2 linked regions of the Sus scrofa genome follow. The protein of the gene in region 2 purifies or fractionates together with the protein of the main gene of each other region. This does not show direct contact. Links are inferred from orthologs where the notes say so. Each region holds a gene or a part of one and is shown on either strand. Other genes may lie near its edges. The genes, in order: RPRD1B and POLR2D.

The links.
Region 1: the proteins of POLR2D (region 2) and RPRD1B purify together in Homo sapiens (affinity purification with mass spectrometry; 3 studies listed by BioGRID and IntAct, counting the BioPlex papers as one, with this or other methods). This does not show direct contact. The link is inferred for Sus scrofa from reciprocal best matches to the Homo sapiens genes POLR2D and RPRD1B.

What each region holds. Positions count from the first base shown.
Region 1 is NC_010459.5:41,092,388-41,096,972, reverse strand, and holds the start of RPRD1B (regulation of nuclear pre-mRNA domain-containing protein 1B), read right to left. Parts: upstream 2,982-4,585; 5' UTR 2,526-2,981; coding exon 2,375-2,525; intron 1-2,374. UniProt on the Homo sapiens protein: Interacts with phosphorylated C-terminal heptapeptide repeat domain (CTD) of the largest RNA polymerase II subunit POLR2A, and participates in dephosphorylation of the CTD by RPAP2. Transcriptional regulator which enhances expression of CCND1.
Region 2 is NC_010457.5:59,478,301-59,482,707, reverse strand, and holds the start of POLR2D (DNA-directed RNA polymerase II subunit RPB4), read right to left. Parts: upstream 3,078-4,407; 5' UTR 3,007-3,077; coding exon 2,934-3,006; intron 1-2,933. UniProt on the Homo sapiens protein: Core component of RNA polymerase II (Pol II), a DNA-dependent RNA polymerase which synthesizes mRNA precursors and many functional non-coding RNAs using the four ribonucleoside triphosphates as substrates.

The sequences.
Region 1 (4,585 bases), on a different chromosome or scaffold from region 2:
TTTTAACTTTGTAACAGGCACTGTTAAATGCTGTGCACATTACAACTAGAGGGTCTAGTTTCTCCCTCTATGAAAGAGACATAACTAGTATGAATGAAATAAATGCTGGTTAATTCTAATAAACAAAAGCACTACAGGTAGAGTTGAAGTATTAAGTGCACTGATGCACTGGATACTTGAAAAAAAAGTTTTGGTGTCAGAGAACTCTGGGCTTATGTCCCAACTATATACTCCTTAACAAAATATTTAATCTCCTCATATCTTCTCATCTATAAAATGGGAATAATAATGCTGGCCTATTTACAACATAAGGTTCCCCGAGATGATATTAGGGTTAAAGGAGCTTCATAAACAAAAGTACTCTTTAAATTGCTACTTTTGATAACTCAAATAGGGTGATGTGGGGAATCAAGAAGACCTCACAAAAGAAGACATTTGAGATAGCCTCTGACCTGCCTCTGAGATCCTATCAGAGGATCCTGTAGAGGCACTTCAAAAATTTTCCCCACAACTCTGATGACAGAAATATCTGAATGGCACAAGGGGGTACATGAGGGAGGTTCTGGGAGCCCCAGGCTCTATCCCCCAACCACCTAGTGCTTGAAAGGACCCTCACCACAGTAAAGCATATAATATTTGAGGCATGTCTGCCAGAGGACTAGAACTGAAAAAATACTGGATTTTGGGTCTGCCAATCTGATGTAGTCTGAGCCTCTGTGGCTCTAAGGCCTTGAAAATACCACTTAGTCACTTGAGTTTCCTCATCTGTAAGACAGAGTGACACCCCAACCTCACGGATAGCAGAGAACACATGTAAAGTTACTTCCTAAGCTCTCATGGGCCTACCACACACAGGCTGTCCAAAACAGCGCTAAGCTTCATCTTCTCAGCTTTCTGCTACGGAACTCACTGGCGTTTCAGATAGCCGTGTAGATGGCCATCCTCCCCGACCAGACTGCAAGCAACTTGAGGCAAAAAACATGCCCCACACTGAGTAATCAGTATCCCACCTCGCTTTTATTAATCCAGTGCCTACACTGTGCCTGACACATGCTAGGCGTTCACTTGGATTATCTGTTTACTCCACACCACAGGCTGATTGAGCCTCCATTTTTTTCTCACCTGCCAAGCTCCTACTTTATACAACTCTGAGAATTTAAAAGATGACAATGTGGAGTTCCCATCATGGCGCAGCAGAAATGAATCCCACTAAGAACCAGAAGGTTGCAGGTTTGATCCCTGGCCTTGCTCAGTGGGTTAAGGATCGGGCGTTGCTGTGAGCTGCGGTGTAGGTCGCAAATGTGGCTCAGATTGGATCTAGTGTTGCTGTGGCTATGGCATAGGCCAGCTACCGCTCCAATTAGACTCCTAGCCTGGGAACCTCCATATGCTGCGGGTGCGGCCCTAAAAAGACAAAATAAAATAAAGAAAATAAATAAAAAATGACAATATATGTAAAGATATCAGTACTGCACCTGGCACAGAACAAAGGCACATAAATAGCAGTTATCATCATCTCCAGTTTACAGATCAGGAAACTGAGGAAGAGAGAGGTTAAACCTCGGGGGCTTAGTAAATGGCAAAATTGGACCCAGATTCCAGGCAGTTGGCCTCTGCAGCCAACATGCTATCAAGCTCCCAAACCAGCGCCTGGCATATAACAGGCTGAACTCAATCAATGACTGTCAGATCCTGAGCAGGGTCTCGAACCAATGAAGAGTTGCATGAGAAATGAAGAGGAGAAACTGAGAGACAAGGTCTAGGTGGTGGGGCCCCTTAACTTCTCTATAATGGCAGTGATTGTACCCACTTCCCAAGGCAGTGCTGAGGACTAAGTGCCAGGAGATATGCAAGGTCCTAGCATAGTGACTTGCACAGAACAAAGTCTCTGTAAGTGGCAGCTACCCTTGTCCTCCTTTGACAGATGAGAAAATAGAGGCAAAGGGAGAAGAAACTTGCCCGATATCACTCAGATCGCAAGTGGCTGAGCCAGGACTCTGTCTAGGCGGTCTTACTCCAAATGCCCAGCAAGAGTCTAGCACACGACAGGCTAGGGCCTGTACCCTCCACCAGGCGCTCAACGCCGCCGAGAGAATAATAGTCACAAGTGTCAGGAGAAGCCGGAGGGAAAAACGGCTGGGTGAACCGAGAGTCCTGAGCTCTGGTCGGTGGAACCTCAGACAAGTACCTTCCCGGACTTGATTTCCTTCTCCGAGAAATGTGGATAACACAGTTTTCAACCTCCGAAGAGCAGTCACTCAGAGGCCCAGGCCCGGAAAGCCAGGTTCAACTAAAAAGCTAGAGGGGCCTAAGGAGTGGGTGGGGGAGAAGACAGCCCGTGGGGAGGACCCAAATGGGTGGAGGGGGTGTTTACCTTTGCGGAGCTCACGGTGCCACACTGAGACGATGGGTCCTGCGTGCTTGCGGTGGTGGATGAGCCACAGGGAGAGGGTCTGCACGCTCTGCTGAGAGTTGCTCAGCTCCGAGAGCTTCTTCTCTAACGCAGACTCGGAGAAGGAGGACATGGTGGCGGCGGTGAGGCCCGGCAAGGAGCGGCCTAGGCCGCCCAGAGCGGCGGGAAGAGTGACGGCACGAGGCCGGGGCCTCACCTGACGGCCTGCACGACTCTTTACAGACTGAGAGACAGCGGGGGTGCCAGGAGGGGGAGGGGATGGGTCTCCGCAGTAACAGCCGCCCGCGCCGCCTCCACAAGATGGCCACCGACCTCTCACCCCACCGCCACAGCGGGGTCAAAGGGCAAGCGCCGGAGTGGCGGGGCACCAAGAGGAGTCAGAGTGTAGAAAAACACCGCTCCGGTGGTGTAGACCTCTCTAAATCTCGCTCGGGGCACTCCAAAAGCGACAGACCGGGAAACGAGAGCACTTCGGCGGCCTCCGGAAAGCGCTTTGACCGCTCGCGCCCGCACACAGGCGCAGTGAGTCGCCCTGGCACCCTTTCTCCCGCTATCGCGGAACCTTTCTGGCGCGGAGCGGTGCGGCGCGCGAGTTACGCGTCACTTCCGGCGGGGCGGAGGAGGCGGGAGAGTGAGGGAAAGGCTGGAAGACGAGGTAAGGGAAGAGAGTGGCGCGATCTAGAGGGAGCCCCGCAAGCTGGAGCCCTTAGAGGGGAATCCTGAGGCGGAGAGATCATGACCTGGGGATGGGATGAATTTCTCCCTCACCTGGCAGGCCCTAGCCCGCACTTTTCCTCCATACATGTCTTGCTCTCTGGGTGCCCCCCACAAAAAGCTTTTTGGTTCTTCCACGCCACCCACGTGCACTTTTCACGCCTTCACTCTTTAGCTCTTGCTGTTCTTTCTACAAAGGTGACGTCCCCCTCCTCAGCTTGTGGGCTCCCGCTCGGCCTTCAGGACCAGCCTTTAATGGCCAGTTCTGATGTTAGTCTGTGAGAGCACCGCCATAAAATACACTTCGGGGCTCTAGGCTCTTGGCTGGTGTTTTCAGGGGACTACAAACCGTCTTTGCCCTCTGGGGGTCCTTTGGACTGTTGCTTCAATTTAAGTAAAATGTTAACTTGGGGAGAGGAAGGTAAGGAAGTCAGTGGGTTCACTGACCTTCCAGAAACACTATTTGAGACTGAGCCCATTTCCTATTTTTAAAAAGTTTTAAATCCCAGTTGTCAAATCAGAAAAATTTGTCTAAACTGCTGCAGGGTGGTGGCAGGAGTTAGGTTCTTGTAGACATAACAGAGTTTTAAAATGTCTTGATCCTAGGGGAACTGATTGTTGTGGGCAGATTCCAGTTAGGAGACACTGTTCTAGTTGGTGCCTGTTGTTGCTCTTACTGCACTGTATTGTAGTCCTTTGCTTAGATGCTTTTATTCCGCCAGACTAGAATCATCACAATCAAAGCCAACATAAGTGAGCAGCTGCTCTTTTTACATAGTAACTCACTTAATCCTCAACAAAACTATGAGATGGGTATTATATTATTTCCATTTGACAGATGTGGAAAGTGAGGCTGAAAAAGGTTAAGGTGACCGACCCAAGTTCATGTAATGAAGATTAGAGGGAAAGGACTGTCTTCTTTACTCCAGCAGCTGACTCATAGCTGATTGAGTGAATTAGTATAAAAGAAGTGAAGAGCCTAAAATCACACAGTCATAATTATAACCTAGGGCCTTTGAGTCCAAATCTAGACCATCTTTCTGTATTAAGTAATAGTGTTATATACTGAATACTTTTATACCAGGTTGCTGTGTATTAAGCACATTGCATATATTCTTTTATTTAATCCTTTTGGGGTAGGGGGCTGTGATCACATTTGATAGGTGAGAAAACGTAATACATGAGTGAGAACTCACTGTCACCTGGACAAAAGAAATGACAGAACCAGGAATCAAATCAAGTTTATCTTATCCACAAATTCTTCACTGTGAGGCAGTGAGTGGTTCATTTATTCATTCAGCCAGTAATTTTTGAGCACCTACATATAAAGCACCGTTCTAGGGCAACAGACAGAACCCTCAGAAGCTTACTTTCTTCAGGGGAAGATAAACACGCATGTATAAAATAAGCCCGAAAGTTATAAGTACCTTGAATAAAATTAAAGGAGAGTGAAAGGGA
Region 2 (4,407 bases):
CCCAATTAGTATCCAAGGGGACATGAGTTCGATCCCTGGCTTCAATCATTGGGTCAAGAATATGGTGCTACCATGAGATGTGGCATAGGCTGCAGATGCAGTTCCGATCCCTTGTTGCTGTGGCTGTGGCAAAGGCTGGCAGCTGTTGTTCCAGCCTGGGAACAACCATATGCCGCAAGAGCGGCCCTATAAAGAATAAAAAGAAAAGAAAACATCCTCCCTCTTTGTTACAACACCTTAAAAAAGAAAAAGAGGAGTTCCTTTGTGGTGCAGTATGTTAAGGACCCAGTGCTATACTGCTGTGGTACAGGTTTCATCCCTGCACTAGGAATTTCCACATGCTGCACATATGGCTAAAAAAAAAAAAAAAAAAAATCTGTAATTTTTATAGCAAAATCCTACATTTGCAAAGAAAAAGAATGTACATGTATGTATTCATAAATGAGCAGTTTAGAAACTTTACAGTAGTTTCCTCAGGGTGAAAGGGAGGGGAATTTCACATTTTACTATGGATATAGTAATTTTTTATTTTATTTTTTGCTTTTTAGGGCTGCACCTGTGGCAAATGGAGGTTCCCAGGCTAGTGGTTCAATCGGAGCTATAGCTGCTGGCCTATACCACGGCCACAGCAACATGGGATCTTAGCCGTGGGACCTATACCATAGCTCATGGCAATGCCAGATCCTTAAGCCACTGAGTGAGTGAGGGATTAAACCTTATCTTCATGTATACTAGGCAGGTTTGTTGCTGCTGAGTTACTTGGGAACTCCTAAGATACGACATTTTAAAATCTTAAGCTTTCTAGGAGTTTCTGTCATGGCTTATCGGAAACAAATCTGACTAGGAACCATGAGGTTGCGGGTTTGATCCTTAGCCTCGCTCAGTGGGTCAAGGATCCAGTGTTGCGGTGAGCTGTGGTGTAGGTTGCAGACGTGGCTCATATCTGACATTGCTGTGGCTCTGGCGTTGGCCAGCAGCAACAACTCCCGTTAGACCCCTAGCCTGGGAACCTTCACATGACAAAAGTGCGGCCCTAAAAAGACAAAAGGCATTTTATTTATTTTTTAATAAATAATATCTTAAGTTTTCTACTCATTTTGGGTTTCTAAATTACAAACTAAGTACATCACACTGCACAAAGGAAGTTTCCTGATAGCAAAAATGTGTTTTACTTGCTGCCACGTGACAAAGATTCTCTCTCTGACCAAACTCTAGGCAGAATCCTTTGCACCCTCTTCTTGGCTAGGACTCAACTTTGGCCCACAGACTTGAACAAAACACTAACATGATTTCTAACAGCTCAAGATTACATGATTTCTAACTGCATTCCTGGGATGAGTCTAGCTCCTTTAAAGTAACTGCCTATAACAGGAACTATACTATAAGTAGCTCCAGTTGTGGCTCAGCAGTAATGAACCCAGCTAGCATCCATGAGGAATCGGGCTCGATCCTCAGCCTTGCTCAGTGGGTTAAGGATCCAGTGTTGCCGAGAGCTGTGTGTGGTGTAGGTCACAGACGAGGCTCGGATCTTGTGTTGCAGGCCAGCAGCTGCAGCTCGGATTTGACCCCTAGCCTGGGAACTTCCATATGTGGCCCTAAAAATCAACAAAATAAAGTAAAATAAAATAAAATAGCTGCCTATGAAAACTAAAGGCTGCCAAAATAATTCACTATTTATTCCAGCCACCTCCTGGAGATAGAGCCCCCATCCCCAGCCCAGAGCAGAAGTGGGAGGGTAGGAACCTGATTTTTTGGTGTTCCCGTCGTGGCACAGTGGAAATGAATCCGACTAGGAACCATGAGGTGGCGGGTTCAACCTCTGGCCTTGCTCAGTGGGTTAAGGATTTGGCATTGCTGTGAGCTGTGGTGTAGGTCACAGACACGGCTCGGATCTCATGTTGCTATGGCCATGGTATAAGCCAGCAGCTGCAGCTCCGATTAGACCTCTAGTCTGGGAACCTCCATATGCTGCAGGTGCGGCCCTAAAAAAAAAAAAAAAAAAAAAAAAAAAAATTATTATAGTTGATTTACAGTGTTCTGTCAATTTTTGCTGTACAGCAAAGTGACCCAGTTATACATTTATACACCTTCTTTTTTTCACGTTATCTTCCATCATGTGTCATCACAAGGGATTATACACAGATCCCTGTGCTATACAGCAGACTCTCAGGAGCCTAATTTTCCTAAGTGACAGTTAACAAATCCAAATGGGTTTCAAACTGACCAACTCTTCTCTTCCCATTTTTCTTTTAATAATGATTTTTATTTTTTCCATTAGAGTTGGTTTACAGTGTTCTGTCAATTTTTTACTATACAGCAGAATGACCCAGTCACACATGCACATATATATTTTTTCTCACATTATCCTCCACCATGCTCCATCACAAGTGACTAGATATAGTTCCCATTTCTACACAGCAGAATCTCACCGCTTATTCACTCCAAATGCTATACTTTGTTCTTCCCATTTTTCGTAGTTTTTCACTTCCCTGACCCTAGTAAGCCCCGCTCACCTCTCCCTATTCCCTCATTCTCTCTTTAAAACGTTCAGTCACCTCTCTACAAATCCAAGTTGGGACTAGTCTACGCTTGACTCTTTTCTCTACTGCAATGGTATATTACTGATTAAAATCGGTCCTGACCCCTTTAGTGCCGGTTTTATCTTTGACACATCCCTCCAGAACTTCGCAGAGTTTATCAGATAAAACGAATTACTTAAACAGGAGTAAGAGGCCGCCCAGAGCCAGTGCGGAGTTGGGCGCCGAAGGCTCCAGAGCGGTAGGTGTGCAATCAAGCTGGCCTGCTCTCACCGTACCGCTCCCCGCTGGCCTGCATCCCCCTCCTCCCGGCCCTTCGCCGCGCCCGCCAGCCCCAGCTAGGCCTACGCCAACCACACCGGACAACCGGGATAGTCGGGAAGCCCCAGGCCGCACCTTTGGGAAAAATGAGTTGTGAGGCATCCTCCTCTACATCACCAGCCCGCGGATCGCTGCCACCAGCCGCCATTGACCTGCCACGAACCTCCACTCGCACCGCCGGAAACGGAAGCGCCGATCCACGAAACACAGCACGGAAGGGGCGTGGTTTCGGAGACAGGGCGGAGTCCGAATAGGGTTGAGCAGGCCCCCACATGTGGGCGGACCCTCTGGGCTGGGCGGAACCTCTGGGCTGGGCGGGACCTGGATGGGGCGGGCGAAGCTGGGAGGCGGCAGAGAGGAGTGAAGCGACCTTAGGCTGCTCCCAAGGAAGTGGAAAGGAGCCCGAGACCGGGATTGCGGGGCTCACTCATCGCCGAGGGGCCGTCCTGCACTGGCCTCGCGGGAGAAGCCATCCTCGCCTCTTCCCCCGTACGCCCTTCGCCGCGCGGCGTGGCGACCGGTCGCTATACCTCTCTGAGGCTCAGTTAACTCACCTGTGGGGTGTGGATGAGAATACCTGCCTCCCAGGGCAGAGGGAAGGATTAGATGAGATGCAGGAACGCGCGGTTCCGAGCAGCTGGAACGAGAGGAACTCTCCTTGATGGGAAGCTGGGTAGGTGACTGAAAACGTATGATTTCCTTTATAGCCTTAAGCATTTAAAATTTTTTATTTGTAGTGGATTTTTCTAATACTTCTGAGCACGTGGATAGTGATATCGAGAGGCCTGATGGAATATTTGGGTGATACTTAGAAAACTAAGCAAATGAAAAATGATTTTGTTTCCAATGTGAGAGAAAACAGATGGTTGTACAGTGAAAGGAATAATCATAGTGCACTACTTGGCTCAGCAATGAACAGTGCTTAAGTATCATGTAAACTCTGCTAACAAAAAAAGGCATTACCAGACAAGACTAATTTTTACAAAATTAATTTGCCTTTTTTTAAATTTAATTTTTATTTATTTATTATTATTATTATTATTTTGTCTTTTTGCCATTTCTTGGGCCGCTCCTGCGGCATATGGAGGTTCCCAGGCAAGGGGTCTAATCGGAGCTATAGCCACCAGCCTACGCCAGAGCCACAGCAACGTGGGATCCAAGCCGCCTCTGCAACCTACACCACAGCTCACGGCAATGCCGGATCGTTAACCCACTGAGCAAGGCCAGGGATCGAACCCGAAACCTCATGGTTCCTAGTTGGATTCGTTAACCACTGCGCCACGACGGGAACTCCTAATTTGCCTTCTATCTGTATTTCCAAAAGAGATGTATTGGGTAAATCAATGGTAGTTTATATAGTATTGGCAGAGCTTTTTACTGCTTCAAAGTGCTTTCCTACACAATCCAACAGAGCTGTGGATTGATGTTCTGATGAAGAGGCTGGGGACAGGTAGCTGCTGGGTATGGGAGGTAGTTCTGAAGCTCAGTGTAGGCCTCTTTCTCCCATTTAGCCACCCAGCAGGACTTTACAGAGTACCTACTGCTTACC